Linked DNA regions of Arabidopsis thaliana. The protein of the gene in region 2 interacts with the protein of the main gene of each other region in a pairwise test. Each region holds a gene or a part of one and is shown on either strand. Other genes may lie near its edges.

What was found. Proteins that work in one complex are often made in the same cells at the same time.
Region 1: the proteins of AT5G25070 (region 2) and WPP2 interact in a two-hybrid assay, tested with the Arabidopsis thaliana proteins (one large-scale study listed by BioGRID).

The regions. Positions count from the first base shown.
Region 1 is NC_003070.9:17,294,588-17,302,650, forward strand, and holds WPP2 (WPP domain protein 2), read right to left. Parts: upstream 4,243-8,063; 5' UTR 4,137-4,242; coding exon 3,594-4,136; 3' UTR 3,244-3,593; downstream 1-3,243. Other genes in the region: CYCA3;2 (cyclin-dependent protein kinase 3;2), read left to right, coding at 6,449-6,790, 6,872-7,104, 7,189-7,341, 7,427-7,610, 7,709-7,843, 7,926-7,997. UniProt on the Arabidopsis thaliana protein: Regulates the mitotic activity in roots. Plays a role with HSP70-1 in facilitating WIT1 nuclear envelope targeting.
Region 2 is NC_003076.8:8,638,562-8,646,725, reverse strand, and holds AT5G25070 (neurofilament light protein), read left to right. Parts: upstream 1-3,209; 5' UTR 3,210-3,254; coding exon 3,255-5,465; 3' UTR 5,466-5,972; downstream 5,973-8,164. Other genes in the region: AT5G25080 (Sas10/Utp3/C1D family), read right to left, coding at 420-658, 746-826, 2,421-2,475, 2,574-2,629, 2,722-2,944; RRC1 (RNA recognition motif (RRM)-containing protein), read left to right, coding at 6,742-6,816, 6,931-7,063, 7,239-7,284, 7,541-7,601, 7,703-7,837, 7,958-8,074.

The DNA of each region.
Region 1 (8,063 bases), on a different chromosome or scaffold from region 2:
ATTAAGTAAATGACAAGAGTAATTATACCTTTGTCTATGAATGTATCATATTTTGAACAATTTATTTACCTCTTTCTGTTAAGGAACGATGATGGTCTTCTGTTTTTTTTTTTTTGTTATATTTCTTATGTAGACATCCAAATTTACCAAATATAATTGAGTTAATTGTATGCAAGGCATCATAAAGTTAAAAACTTATAAGATCCGAAACATTGCAGAAGTGATTACGAAAACCGGCACTTCTTCCTTTGTAAAATAACGCTTCTACCCTTGTGTTATCATATGGAGAAAACAAATAAAATGGAAAAGGAGATTCGTTGATTTTGGAGGAGATGAATGATCAGTGTTGGAGTTGGAATTCAGCAGCTGATAAAGGAGGACTATATGGGCGATGAAGATGATGAATAGAGGAAGCTCGGTTTAAAAACCAAAATTGGAGATTCCATGGCGATATCTGATTTCGGATCACATGATTTTCCAAACAAAAAGTCAATTAGGTAATATTTAAAGAGAGATCAAGATGTCTTTGAGTTGATTTAAGATTCGATTATGGTTTTTGGATTGCTTTCCAATGGCATAACTATACAAATACACAAAATTTGTTTCATATAGAGCTTAAGACATCTTACAAATGACCAAATGACATAGAATATTACCCAAATGAAACTAAACCGGAGACTCCAATTATAATCGGTTGAGCTGGTTAAAACCATCAAGCTAAGTGGTCAAGGGCCTAGGATGATAAGGCCATCTACATTGGTAGATTCTCAAAAAAGAGTTTCTCATGAATAAAATATTGCTTATTTTAATTGAATTCAGATAAATTATTAATTTTAATGAAAAAAAAGAAAATCAACCATTCCTGAAAAAACACGTGGCCAGAAACGTCTCTCAGAGTTTCTGAAAACAGAGACGATTCTCACTTCTCTCTCTTCTTTTTCACCACTTTATATTATTTTAATAATAAGTATCTTTTCTAGATATTGCAGATGGAGGGACAAACGCTCCTCCTTCTCTCTATAAAACAAAGTCGCCGCCGTTGTTGCTAGGGTTTCGGTCCCAGTGACTTTTTCAGCACCAGAACCGAAATTTCTTGGTTTCTTCATGTTTAGTTTTTGTTTTCCTTCCTCTCTGACAGATCTGAACCTTTTTTTTTTCCAACGGTTTCAGATCTAAAATTTCAGATCTAAATCTACAATTTCTAAATTTTTCGTCTTTGGATTTTGCTGCTTGTTTTTGTCCCTTTTATGTGCAGCACCAGTTCTGGCCGTTCGAACCTCGGCAGAGGCGAGTTCTTTCACCGCCTTCAGAAGTAGATTTCTCTCCTTTGAAGATCTCGATCTCCTTTCTTCTTCTTATGACCATCATCATTTGGGTCGCGGGGTGTTTGTTTGTTCACCGCCGTTTGTGGTAAAGAGAGTCCTGGTTTTGTTGGTTTTGTTTTCCTTAGTGTGAATCTGTTTGTTTTTATGGTGATTTAGACTTTGTAATTTTATTTTTGATTTTTTGAGTTTGGATTCCGAGAAGATTGGTTCAGATGCGTGTATTTGTATGTTTGAGTTTATTTCCTCTTTAATTTTTCTTAATTAGATTTTTGTTTCTAGGAGTCTACATGTACTCGCCGGCTTATGTCTTTGGAAGGTTTGATTGCATTGCCGCCTATTGTATTCAGAACTTATTTCATCAATATAATTTACCATTCTAGTGAAGAAAAAAAAAATATTGTTGATGGAGGTGCTCTAACTCTTCTAATCCTAATACTAAAAACAAGATCGTTGAAAATTAAAAAGAATAATCCAATTAGAACAAAGGTACATCTTTCTTCTTTGGATCTAAAGAAATAATATACTCCCAAAAGTAGAATGTACACTTGGTGAATGGGACATGAAGCACATGTGTGGAAGCTAATATAGGAGTTTTTCTTCTCACGTGTCTTTTCCTACAAAGCTTCATGATCAGTTGATCACCTCTCCGCTTACACTTGTCTTAAAAAAAAAAAGCCAACGCTTAGCGTACCACACAGATTATAGACTTCTGAATTTTTTGTTGGCATGAAGTTGCTCTGCCAAAAAAGGGTCATCACCCTTCTAGCAAACAATATAATCTCAATCTCTTTACTGACCAAGCCTCCCATTTGTGATGATGGGGTCATCCAGGATGACAAAAATTGTTTGGCTGAGATCTTATCAATCAATTGACCAATAAGCATAGTTTCTATTTCACATTTTTTCAATCTGGTTATTCCCATATCCGCCTGCTTTTTGTAACTTATGAATAAAAGTATTAAACCAAAAAATTTCTGATTTCTAAACCTACATTTGATTTTATCTAATCTCCTTTCCACATCACAAAACAAAACTATGTAACTGTAGTTATAAGTTATTGGCTTACATATAAACTATGTATGTTTTTCTAAGTCATTGTTTTTTGGATTCTTGAATTGATAAAGAAATTCATGACGATTCTGTATGGAAGAACTGCGAACTTTAAAACTCTATTTTGACTGTAATCCCTAACCACTAACCAGAGAAGACTAGAGAGAATATCAAAGAATCAGTGAAATTGTTTCAGTTACTAAATTAAACGAATACAGAGGTCAATGAACTCGAAACATACCCACCTGAGCATAGGAAGGAAGAAGGAAGAAGGAGAAAATAGACTGGAATCATCCTCTAATTCTATGTAAAACAACATAAGAACAAACACTATCTACACATTACATAACTTGGTTTAAAATTCAACTGGCCAAAATCTAATCCAATAGAATAGGAATACAAAAACAGAGTAAAAACAGAAAGAAACCGCTATGACATAACCACTAGAAACTTGTAGGCAGTGTTTTTCATGTTCTGATGTAATTAGGTTCATCAAACTAGTTACTTGAGGATTTATAAAATCTAAAGATACTTAATCCGTGCTCCGACTCACCACAAGTTCATGTCATCACTGAAAAATCCAAAGAACTTTCAGCCTAATCCTAATGGTGTGTTCTAAAGAACTCCAAATCCAATCGACCAAACACTACACAACCTATAAGCCATAGAAAGCTGCATACACCAAAGTAAGACAAACTCACATGTTCCTGTCACCACTGAAAAGTAACAGAACTTCAGCTTAATCGTAATTGTAACCCAATTTAAAAAACGTTACATAACTCAATGGTAAGCTGCATAGAGACACTAATGGTCACCAAAGCAAAGATGCAAATGTGCTTAAAGAAACTGAACAAAACAATAAACTCAACACACCACTCTAACATTCACAAAGACATAACCCGATGATACTAACCGTAATTACACAATGAATGACACAAATCAAACGATGTGGTTGTTGAATACACATCAATCAAAGCAATCCAAAACACACATAGCAGAAAAGGAAAACAATTTACCAACAAAGATGCATTATTGTTAAATATCAAATCCCATAAAGCCAAACCAAGCAACAAAATGAAGACACTTGCACTCATATTAAGGAAGAAGAAACATCTTCAAATATGCATAATACCAAATCCACAAGTCATCATCATCATTACAAGAACAGCAAAACCCTAAGAGACAAGAGATTATAATAAGGAAGTAAAACCAAATTTCTCAAGCCTCACTCTTCTCCTCCTCTGAAGCAGGACCAGCATCATCTTTAGAAACCTCACTAGCATCAGTATTAGCATCCTCCACACTTCCATTTCCAACACTAGCATTAGATCTAGCCTTAACAGATTCAAGCATCCTCTTACTAATCTCTTTAGAATAAAGCTCAAGAATCTTAATCCCATCATCATCACTCGACACAGCATTCGAAGCAACACCATAAGCCTCTTCTTCGATAAGTTTCGCGACGGTGGTTGCATCGTCAGATTTAAGAGTACCGTATCTCTTAGAGAGGATTGATTCGGTGGATAAGGTCTCGATCAGGCGATTCAGAACGGCGTCGCGAGTTTTCTGAGTCGGTGGCCAGATTCGGAGAGAGATTCCTCCTGGTTTCTTCTCTGATTCGGCTTCTTTCGTCAGATCTGTGTCTTTTGAGGCTGCTTCTTGAGATGTTGGATCTGTCATTGCAGAAATAGTGGTGGAGCTTTCGGATTCCGGTGGCGGCGATGAGATCGTGGTGTTGATTGTCTCGGCGGTTTCTGCCATTTTCGAAGTTTAGGGATTTTGGAGATTCTTTGGAAGGATCAGTTATGACGACGGTTCACGAAATGACAAAGTCTTTAGAGTTTAGAGTTTAGACATTGATTGGTTTGGTTCGGTGTTATTATAAATAATTAAATAACCGAAAATTCAGGAAGTATTTGAAATTTAAACTTTGTGTGGTGGAGAAAACTATAGTCAATATAAATATTTCAGTTATAATCTTAAACTTACGTTCAAATCTTTTTATGAATTAATTACGGTTTTATTTTAAATTAATTACATAAAATACAATTAATAATAAAAATTTCAGCTAATTTTATTGATATCAGATGAAGATAATATCAGTATATAAAATACAATAAATGTTTTAAATATAAATGTTTTGTGGAAAATAGTATATATATAAAATCAAAATAAGTAGGGTAACTTGATTTTTTCTTACAAATTATTTTCAACTGAACTAATCTTTAGGTAATCCAAATATTATTTTACAAAATCTAAATAGGGTAATAATCATAAATGACGATAACCACTACATTCTCATTCGACTATCTTTTCAAGCGACTTTGTATTATCTTTGGAGAGAGTGGAATGAGAGGAAGCTCACAACAAGAAATGTCGGACCCATATGCAGCTTCTAGCCATGATCGAGAAAACCATTCACTCTCGCATCATGTCATTGTGTTACTACGAGAAACCAAAACTTAAAGATTGCTTCAAACTTTGTATGTGACGAGACCCCTACATTAGTCACTGCCAAGATCTGTCCTCAAATCTTTGATCTGTTTTGTTATGTCTTGTTTTTGTATATTGTCACATTCTCATTGTAAATTATTAGTTACCAATCAACAAATTTTACATCATAAAAAAGCAGTCAAGAGATTTTTTTATTTTAGAACTATTTGGCAATCAAGTTTGAAAAATATATTGGGTGGAGGATCAATTGAACATGTGGATGATGAGTAAAATTAGTTTTGAGTCTAGTTAAAAGGTGATCAAGGTCTATTATGATATTTGGTGAGCTTAGAAGAAATTAGAAAACATAATCGTTTCTCAACCGAATGTATATTCGCAACGTTTCTTCACCTTGAATTTGCCTTGGGTTGGCTCTGCTCTAAGGAGGTGTCTTTGTTGTTTTTGATTGTTTGTTGTGTTTCTTCACTTTGATAGGATAAAGGTTTGTTCCGCATGATGTTCCAGTGAGCTTTCAGTGTTGGATAGAAGCGGTGATTTGGTCTAGAATGTCTATATTATATTGTGGGAACTGATTTTTCTAGTTTTATGCTTGAGAATGGTGGCCTTTGGTGGCCAAAGGCGGCTTTTCTGGATGTTCGTAGATGCTCTTTTGCTGTCAGGTAAGTCTATTCTAGCGGTTTTGTTTTTGTGTTAGTTCTCAAAAAAACTATTAGCGTCTTTTTGTTTTAAGGTTTTGAAGATAGACCTCATAAAGAAATTGCTCGTGGTAACAATAATGAAGATTCAATTTTTGTTGGAGATGGGACAATTATACAAATGTCTGAGCCTCACGGTTCAACATTGATGTTCTTCATCGAACCTATGCTAGCTGCTTTCCACTTAGCTTTCATTATAGTTTTCGTAAGTTTATTTAGTTATAGATTTTGGTCTTTATATCTTCTTTGTTTTTTTCTGTAATCGTTTTCACAATTTAGACCATACTAAACAACATAAAATTCTCAAAATTATAAAATAATCACTATAAAAAAAAATAAAAAAGGATCAAAATTTTATTTAAAAAAACCCTAAAAAACTAGTTAGTTTTAAAAAGTCATGATCTTGTTTAAAGAAAATTGTACATTTAACAATTCTAAATATTTTATTAAAAAATATAAGATTAGTAAAGTACAAAATATCACAATCTTTTTTTTTTTTTTTTTTTTTGTCAAAGACAAAATATTACAATCTAAATTATAAATTTAACAGATGTCTTCGAAGGGACAAAAATGTCAAATGTCAAATTTGTTTCTGAATCGAACCACCACGGCCAAAACCCCAATCTTTACCGGTCAAAAACATTTTCAGGCAAAATCTGAAAACAAAAAAACATAAATCACCCGCCCAAACAAATTTCAGAGAATTTTCGCACCTCCAAAATTTTTTAGTTGACTCCCAAAAAACTCAAACTCCAAAAAAATCACAGAGAGCGCCACAATCAGAAAAAATGGCGCTTTTGCTCTTCCCTTTTTCTTCCCCTTCTCACCTTCTCTTCTTCCACTCATCCGATCTCTCAATCCTCTCAAATCTCAAACTCTCTCTTCCCATCACTCTCTCGCTCTCTCTTCAATCTCATCTCAATCATGACAGAGCAAGAGATCTGCGTGAGGGTTACAAGAGCGGCGGCGAAACGAAAAGCTTCGACGGCGATGGGTATTGACGGAGATCGGGTCAACAAGAAGAGAGTTGTTCTCGGTGAGCTTCTAAACGTCTCCAATGTCAATCTCTTGGCTAATCTCAATCAGAAGAAAGAAACCCAGAAGCCAAAAAGGAATCTTAAACCTCCTCCGGCGAAACAGATTAAGTCAGCTCCGGTGGCTATTATTGACCTAGAATCAAAATCTGACATTGATTCTCGATCTGATGATCCTCAAATGTGTGGACCTTATGTTGCTGATATCTATGAGTATCTTCGTCAACTTGAGGTAATAATGATCTTGTGTTTTGGATTTAGAATCATTTACTTAGTTCTTGAATTGGATCTGAATTGGATTTGGTGAATTCAGGTGAAGCCAAAGCAGAGACCTTTACCAGATTACATAGAGAAAGTTCAGAAAGATGTAACACCAAGTATGAGAGGTGTTTTGGTTGATTGGTTAGTGGAAGTTGCTGAAGAGTATAAACTTGGATCTGAAACACTTTATCTCACTGTCTCACATATTGATAGATTCTTGTCTTTAAAGACTGTTAACAAGCAAAAGCTACAGCTTGTTGGAGTTTCTGCTATGCTTATTGCTTCGTAAGTGTTTTATGATTCTTCCTCTCTTGTGTTTGTTGTCATTGTTTATGTATGGAAGCTAATGGAAGTATTGAAATGTTGTAGGAAGTATGAAGAGATAAGTCCTCCTAAAGTGGATGATTTTTGTTACATTACGGATAATACGTTTTCGAAACAAGATGTTGTGAAGATGGAAGCTGATATACTTCTTGCTCTTCAGTTTGAGTTGGGAAGACCAACGATTAATACTTTTATGAGGTTAGATTTGTGTGTATTGGTGATGATTACTTATTGGTTTGTCTTAGTTTCATTGTTCTGATTTTGTGTGTTGGTGTTTGTGTAGACGGTTTACTAGAGTTGCACAAGACGATTTCAAAGTTCCACATTTGCAGCTAGAGCCTCTTTGTTGCTATTTGTCAGAATTGAGTATATTAGATTATAAGACTGTGAAGTTTGTGCCGTCTCTGTTGGCTGCTTCTGCTGTTTTTCTCGCTCGGTTCATCATCCGTCCGAAACAACATCCTTGGGTAAGCATATTTGTCTCAGTCTCTTTCAGGTTTTAGTCTGCTGTGGTCATTGTTTAGAATGAGACACTAATGATTTATGGTTGTGAATATGTAAACAGAACCAAATGTTAGAAGAGTACACAAAGTACAAAGCGGCTGATCTACAAGTGTGTGTTGGAATCATACATGACTTGTATTTGAGCAGAAGAGGAGGTGCTTTACAAGCTGTTAGAGAGAAATATAAGCACCATAAGGTACTTAAACATTACACATTGATAAAATCATTTGAATAAGCAGAGCTTTCTTGATACTTAATGTTGCTTCTTCTCGGTACAGTTCCAATGCGTTGCGACCATGCCTGTTTCACCAGAGCTGCCGGTTACCTTTTGGGAGGATGTTACCATTTGATCTGAGGTTATGCTATCTTAAGCAAATGTTACGGAGCTGGATTACCGAATCTTGTTTCAAATAGTA
Region 2 (8,164 bases):
TAGAGACAGAAATGGTGCTGAAAACTTCACGATAATCAGCAGATAAGTAACGGATGCAATGATCTACACGAAGAGGACTAAAGATGCTGATACTATTCTGCTATTTGTAGCCTAGGAGAGAAATCACTACAATGAACAAATCTTCCTTATTGGTACATCCTTTATATGACTCAAAGATATTATAATCATACCATGAGGAGAAGCAAATAAATCCCTAAGGATAACTCATAAAGAGACTATAGTTTTCAAAACAAATGGAAGGAAACAGTGTTTTCATTATGTGATCATAGTCATAAAGTATTAGGAGAAAGAATCGTTTTTTTTCCTTAGACATCCACCTAGTTGGCAATTCTAGAGATTTGCTTTCAGGTGTCAAAGATAATCAGAAGAGAACATTACCATGATATATTGGTAATAAATCAGGCTGTACCAACTTCGACATCATCTGAACCATCAGCTGCCGCTACTAAAGGGCCCTTCAAACCATTTTCATTGTGACCGATAATCTCACGAGCTGCCTTTTCAAGAAAGTCCTTCGCAGCTGACTGAACAGACTGTTTCTCATTTGATTGGTATTTCCTCTTTCTCGCAGATGTTTCAGAATACCTGATCCTCGATTTCTCTCCTTTACTGAGGTCTCTAATGCTTTGCTTTTGGGCTAGATTCATTTAGCAATGACTGTTAGAGAAACAATGATATACAGTAAAAGAGAGAGGTGGAAACAACAAACTGTACAAAAGCTTACTCGATGTAAGATCAGGTAGAGAATGTTCGATGAAACGGGTTGCTGCCTGACGGTTTAAGACAGTGGTCGGGCGCAAAGGTCCTACGGTAAAAAAAAAAAAGAGAAATAGATAAGAGAACATTTAGAGGATAAGATATTGATTAGAGGTAGCCATTCAATGTCTAACAAAATCGAAATGACTACAAAATTTCCTTATCAGATAAACCAAACATCAATTAGACAAGTTAAATATGAAACGATGTGCATGAAAAGAAATACTTTCGAGAAACTAAGTCGAACTAGTCGGCCCATTAGTACCCGGTAGCATATCGACAAAACGATTCTTGCCCGAAAGGCCCACGAGTCATTTCACAAAAACGCAGAGCACAAGTGTTACCAATTGAGTAAGCACTTTCTAAACGGAATATAAAAGCTCGTTGATAAACAAAGATAAGACACTAGCCTCCAAAATTTGAGATAGTAGACAAGAACAAATGGATCTTCCACAATAAGAAAAAACTTCGAAAAACATCGCGAAACATTAACATCAACAATGAGCCACAAATAAATTCAAATCAAATAAGTTGTCTAAATGGAAGTAAATCTTGACAAAACAAAGTTGAAACTATCCACTTTGATTTTAAAGCTATTCAACGGAAAAACAAATACAGAGAAACTAGATCACGAATCAGTCTCCCTAATTTCATTCAATAGACTACGAGAGGAAATCTCCTTTCAATATAAGATGATAGGTAGATGCAATAGTAAGGTGACTAAAAGATAAGTCCAGAACAATGGATTAGGCGCGATTCATTATTAGAAAGCCTTCCAATGGAAATACTACTTCCCTGCATTTAAGATGGGTACATGCAATAAAGAGTCTTTCAACGAAAATCATCATATCTACCAAAAATAAATAAAATCATCACTGAGCATAGAACAAAACAAAGAAAACAATCTAAAGCAGATACATCATCCCAACAAACAGAGGATCAGAAAAGCAAGTCCTCGGAAAATGTACTAATCAACGAAGAGGTTAGCACCTATCTGCCTAATATTAAGACTGGCTAAATAAATTCTAAGCTGAGAGCAAAATCCTTGAACACGGTTGAAATATTATCCCCAACAACTTTATAAGGTAAATGGATGCAGCAATTCTCCAATGAAAAGAGAAAGCCTTCTAATGGAAACACTACTTCCCTGCATTTAAGATGGGTACAAGCAATAAAGAGTCTTTTAAAGAAAATCATCATATCTACGAAAAATAGTATCAACACTAAACATCGAACAAAACAAGGAAAACTATATAAGGCAGATACATAATCCCAACAAACAAAGGATCAGAAACGCAAGTCCTCAAAATGTACTAATCAACAATAAGGTACACAGAGGATATCATTTAACGCTTAAGAAATCGTTAGCACCTATTAGCCTCTAAAATTACGAAAGGCTAAATAAATTCTAAGCTGAGAGCATAATCCTTGAACATGGTTGAAATATTATCCCCCAACAAAGGTAATTGAAAGCAGCAATTCTCCAATGAAAAGAGAAAGCCAAAAAAACTTGCTTAATCCACGAGACAATACAATGGCCAATTCAAACTGAAACAAATGGTTTAAACCAAAAGACACACAGAACCAAACAAGTTTTTGATCTCTCTACAAATCAATCCAGGCACCAGAAAATCAATCTTTACCTTTACTTTGATCAACACACTTCTGAAACTTCTCTCTGTACACGTTTATCCGCTCCTACAAAACCAATACTACCATCAATCAAACAACAAAAGATACCATTTTGATTAAGTTAACAAGATAATAAGAGAACTAAAACATCCAAAGACACATACAATTTCAGATTTTACACGATGATCATCAGGATCAACACCAGTACATCTCAACCTCACTGTAAACACACAAAACAACAAAAAAATTCAAATTTATCACAAACAAACAAACTTCAATCGAAACAGATTCACAAAGAAGAAAGAGTGTTACGTTCGTAAAGAGTAGTGGTGGCTTCAGCTAGCAAGTGCATAGTCTTAGCTCGCTGTAATGGTTGCATTGCAGCGAGAACCTCTGGCTCAGCTAAAGTCAGCATCTGCTCAAGCTGTGGCTTCAGTTCCTTGAGGTACGCAAGTGTTTGATTCACCGCTTCAATCGCTGATTCCGGAACCACTCCTCCAGCTCCTCCGCCGCTACTTCCTCCACCTCCTTCCATCTTCAATCGAATCGAGAATTTGAAAATTGAAAAATCCGGCGTAGATAGACTCAGAGGTAAAGAGATTAGGTTTCCGGTTAGATTCTCTGAGTCGCCGACAAGTGTTGAAATTTTTATCTTTATGGAGATGAAGAGGCGCTAACACAATCGGGAAAGAGTGACGTCAGCATTATCAAATATGGGCCGTTAATAGGCCCAAGACAAGTCAAACATTTAAGGCCCATTAAACTAGTGAATTTATTTTTATGAATTATTAAAAGGTTTCAAACTCAAATGTAGATCAGATCGGTGATTGATCAGATCGGCGGCGATGGATGGTGGCGACGATATGGATTCCCTGTTCGAAGGGATGGAGCTTTTTACACCGGCGTCTCAGTTCTCCGGTGACAGCAAGGTAAGCTCACCGCCTCAATCTGAAGAAACCAAGGCGGCGGAGGCGACACTGATCACGGCTCCTTCTCAACCAGATGTGACGGAGGCGACACTGATCACGGCTACTTCTCAGCCAGATATTACGGAGGCTTTGGACGAGAATCTGTTTTCAGACTTAACGATTGTGACTCCGGTTCAACACCAACCTGAGCCGATGGAGGCAGTTATCACTACTCATCAATCTCCGGCGAAGAATTATGGACGTCAGGTGTCACGGAGGAAGAAGAGAGCGGCTGGATTAAGAATTGGATACGGTAGGCACGAAACCAACAATCTCGACGAAGACGAAGATGATGCCGTTAGTCAACAATCCGATTCCGTTAGTCAAGTATCAGATTCAGTTAGTCAAATATCTGATTCCGTCGCGCAAGTGTTTGATTCCGGTAATCAATCTTTAGACTCTCCTGTTGTTACTGTGGTTGTTGGTAATGGTAGCTCAAGGTTGGAGTTAGTTAAGGCTCAGATCGAAGCGAAGCTAAATCGTTCTCGTGATTTGGCTGCTTCGGTTACTTCTGCTCGTAAGAATGCGATTAGGAAGAAAAGGCAAGCATCTGAGAATCTCAGATTAGCTTCTACGACGCACGAAGAGCTCGAGAAGCAGCTTGAGGAAGCGATCGAGACAGAGGATTTCGATGCGGCTGAGAGGATTAGCGAAAGCCTCGCTGCTAAGGAAAGAGATAGGCTAGCATTGTTGGCATTGCTTCGCCAAGCGGAATCTGATTGCGATGCTATTGAGTCGAAAATGGAAGAGGTTCTTCTTTCTCAGATTGCAGCTGAAGAAGAATCTGCCTGTCTGCTTCGTAGTTTTGGCACGGATGCTGAGAATGATGCTGGATCGATTCTGGAGAAAGCAGAAGCTTTTTATTCAGATGAAATGGAGAAATGGCATTCATGTTCTGAAGATGTTGAGGTTAGAAAAGTCGAATTGGATATAGAATCTGTTGTTGTTGATAACGTTCGGTTGTCGTTGAATGGTATTCTTGAGGGATCTGTTGAACAAGATATGAAAGAGAAGGAGATACTGCAGAAGAAGAAAGAACATTTGGCAAATGAACTTGAGGAGCTGCTTGCTTTGGTGAAGGCAAAGGAGAAGGAGATTGACGAGAACGATTCGCAAATAGAGGCAGTTGAGGAAAGAATTAACAATGTGGTGACTGGCTTCAAGGAATTGCAAACAAGTATGGATAAAATGTTAAACGATGTGCAAGCTGGTCTCACTGAGGTTGACAAGGAAACTGAAGATTTATCAAGGAAGAAGAAAGACGTGGACGAGTTCATGACATCTGAGAAGGAGAGAGGAGCCAAACTTCGTGATCTTGCCCGTGTTTCAGCGGATGAAGCTTGTGAATATGAGGAAGTTATTAAATTGCGGAAAGGTTTGATGTCATATGTGTCTAAAACTAGAGAAGAGAGAGCTAAGCTTGTAAATATCGAAGAGAAGCTTTCTGAGGAAGTACAGAAGCTACAAGAGGAGGTTTCCAGTACCCGAGAGTTACTTAAGGAGCGATCTTCTAAAAAGTCGATCATCCAACAGAACATTACATCTTTCATGGATAAAATTATGTTCATAGAGAAAAGGATGCCGGAGCTTGAAGCAGAGAAGAAAGTGGCTGCATCAACGAGAAATTTTAAAGAAGCTGGAAGAATAGCTGCAGAAGCCAAGTCTTTAAATTTAGAAAAGGATAAGACACAGATGGAAACAGGAAAAGCTAACGCTGAGCTCGAAAAAGCAGAGCATGAGATTGAAGAAACCATCAAGAGGCTACAAGAGATAGAGAAGTTGATTTTGTCGAAAGAAAAAGAATTGGCTATTAGTAGATTCCAGAGGTTGCGGATTGACAGTGGAACTGCAAAAGCTGAGAGATCAGCTGCTCTGGAACTGAGCGACCTTGAAGAAGCTAATCTTCTACTTGAGGAAGCGCAAGAAGCAGAATCCGAGGCAGAGAAGCTTAAACTCACAGGCGGTCTCAAAGAAGAGGAAGAGGAAGAAGAGAAAGCAAAATCTAATGAAGTTTTTGTCTCGATGGAACTCATAGCCACCGTTGGTCTGAAAAAATTACAAGAACTGGTGGAATCTGTTCCATCTTAACTCTGAAACTGCTTCAGGTTCAATCCTAGGGACTACAGGAATGTCCTGAATCATCAAGGAAAAGAACCGAATGGTTGGTTTTGTAAATCTATCAACAACATTAAGCTCCATAACGCAGTCCACGTATATGGTTTTTGTTTGGTTGTTTTTGGGATCCATGTGTTGATCGATTTGGTTGTTCAAAGAAAAGAGAGAAAGCTTATTCTATTCAAAATGTTACGAGGATAGAAACACCAGGAACTTTTTTTTGTTGGAATATACTTTCTTTGTTTCTCTGTTTACTTTAGATCAAACTGTTGATTTGGTAGGTAAACATTGTTGTCTTACTAGTCATTGTAATTTAAAAATTGTAAACTTGGCTCGTTATGGCAATTCTGTTTTGAATTTTTATTTGTATTGGACTTGAGTAGTCTTATGACACCTCTCCGTCGAAATGTCTGGCTCTCGCTGTAAGTAACAAAGTGGGATGTTCTTGGATGCTATGATTTTACATAGAGAAGTTGAAGATGTTGATACCATTGTGGAATTGTAGCCTAGGAAACCACTATAATGAACTTTACTTCATCATCATCTGAACCATTCTTAACTAAGATAACCAACTCTAAATATATGAAAATATTCTTTGTGGGAATAATATATAAAGATACAGTTTATGTAAAATTTTACTTACTCCAAATCACTTCTAAATATGTATTTTCTTATTTATATCACTCTCTAAATCTCTCTATTAAATAGAACGTTAACTCTTTAACCTCAATCTCAAATTTCAATTCTTCTAGTTATAATTTATAAACAACAGCAAAAAAAATTTTGTTCTATTACAAATATATGTTAACACTCATAGTTATTTTAAAAGTTTTTATTTTTGAAACAATATATTCTTTCCAGTTTATAATAAATATCAATTTAGATTTAAATTTTGTTTATTATCATTTTTTGTATATGTAACTTTTTAAATTTATTTATCAAAATTTTATGCTTACGCAATAATTAATTTAAAATTCCACAAATTCTTAAAAGACGACTGAAAATACAAATATTTTATCCTAATTATTATTTTTCCCTATCTCCCGTTTTTAGCTCGTCTTGTGTTCTCTCCTCGAGCCCTAGCTCGCTTCCTGATCAATCGTCACCTTTCTCGATTCATCCAAACCCTAGTTCCGAATCAGAATCCATAGTCTTCGTATCTTTCTACTTTGATCTTTCTCAATCATCAATTCGGCTTCTCTGTTTCGTTGGGTACAAGTTTCCCGAGGAGCAGTTGGATGCTGAAACAATGAGTTCATTCTCGATCACTCGTAAGAAAACACCATTCCAGAAACACAGAGAAGAAGAAGAAGCTAGGAAGAAGGTGAGTTGAAATTTTCAATCGATTCATCGCTATTCCTGGGTAGAATTTGAGAAATTTGTTCATCGGAGATTGATTTGATTGATTAATCGATGGGGTTTTCGATCTTAATCGCAGAAAGCAGAGGATGAAACGGCTCGTTTGTATCAAGAATTCGTGGAATCGTTTCAAGGGGATAATGCAACTACTAAGACTTTTGTTCGAGGTGGGACGATAAATCCTGGTGACAAGCCTAAGGTTGATTCTGAAGGTTAGTCTTTGCAAAGGCTACACAGCTTTTTAACTGTTTGTTTACAATTGCTTCTCTCTTTGTGTGTACTTTGTTCTTTTTGATTGGTGTCAAATGGTTAGAGCAATGCTTTGATTATATTGGGAACGCATTAATAAGTGTATGGACCTTTTTTCTATGCGTTCGCGGATGGCAGGTGAAAAGTCCAAAGATGGGGGTTCGGTTTCAAAGAAGGGGAGTAGGTAAAACTGATTGCTTTTGATTGAATCAATCTCGCTTTGCTATCGTAGATCGAAAGAGCTTGGTCGCTCGTGATTTTGCTGATGAGTTATACACTTTTGATATGTTTGTTACCAGGCTTGAGTAAAATATTATTAATCATGTATTTGTAACTAGCTGAGGTCTTAGGAATGATGTTCTTGGGTATTGCTTGATAAGTTGAAATTCATTCGTGTATTCTTGTTATATAGAAGATTATCGTCCACTTAATCTTTGTAGGTATGTTCCCTCTTTCCTTCCACCACCACTGGCATCCAAGGGTAAAGAACCGGAGAAGAAGGTCAGTAGCATGGATTTTGTCACTGTAATTCTCTTGTTCATTGGGTTTGTTGTTTGAAGCACAATTATTTAGTTGTAAGTTCATTTATTTCATCTTTCTAGAGGGAGGAGGAGAGGCCTAGGGAAAGAGAAAAGGGAAAGACTCGAAATATAGATAATTTCATGGAGGAGTTGAAACGTGAACAAGAAATGAGAGAAAGACGAAACCAGGATCGTGACCGTCAGGGCGATAGCTCGGTTAGTTCATTATACTCTTGTGCTCTCTTCATCATACTCTTTTGCTCTCTTCATCGGTGTTCTGCTCTCATATTTACTCTGGACTCCCGGCTTTCTATACTAAACTTATTCTGTATTCAGCCATCTAGCCGCTTTGATGAGCTACCTGATGATTTTGATCCCAGTGGGAGGCCAGGATCGTTTGACGATGGTGACCCACAAACTACGAATCTGTATGTTGGGAATCTGTCCCCAAAGGTGTTTTTTCTTTTCTTACTTGGATCATATGTTGTTTTCTCTCGCCATTGTATTCTTAATATTCATAAGGTATAATTTTATGCTCACGTA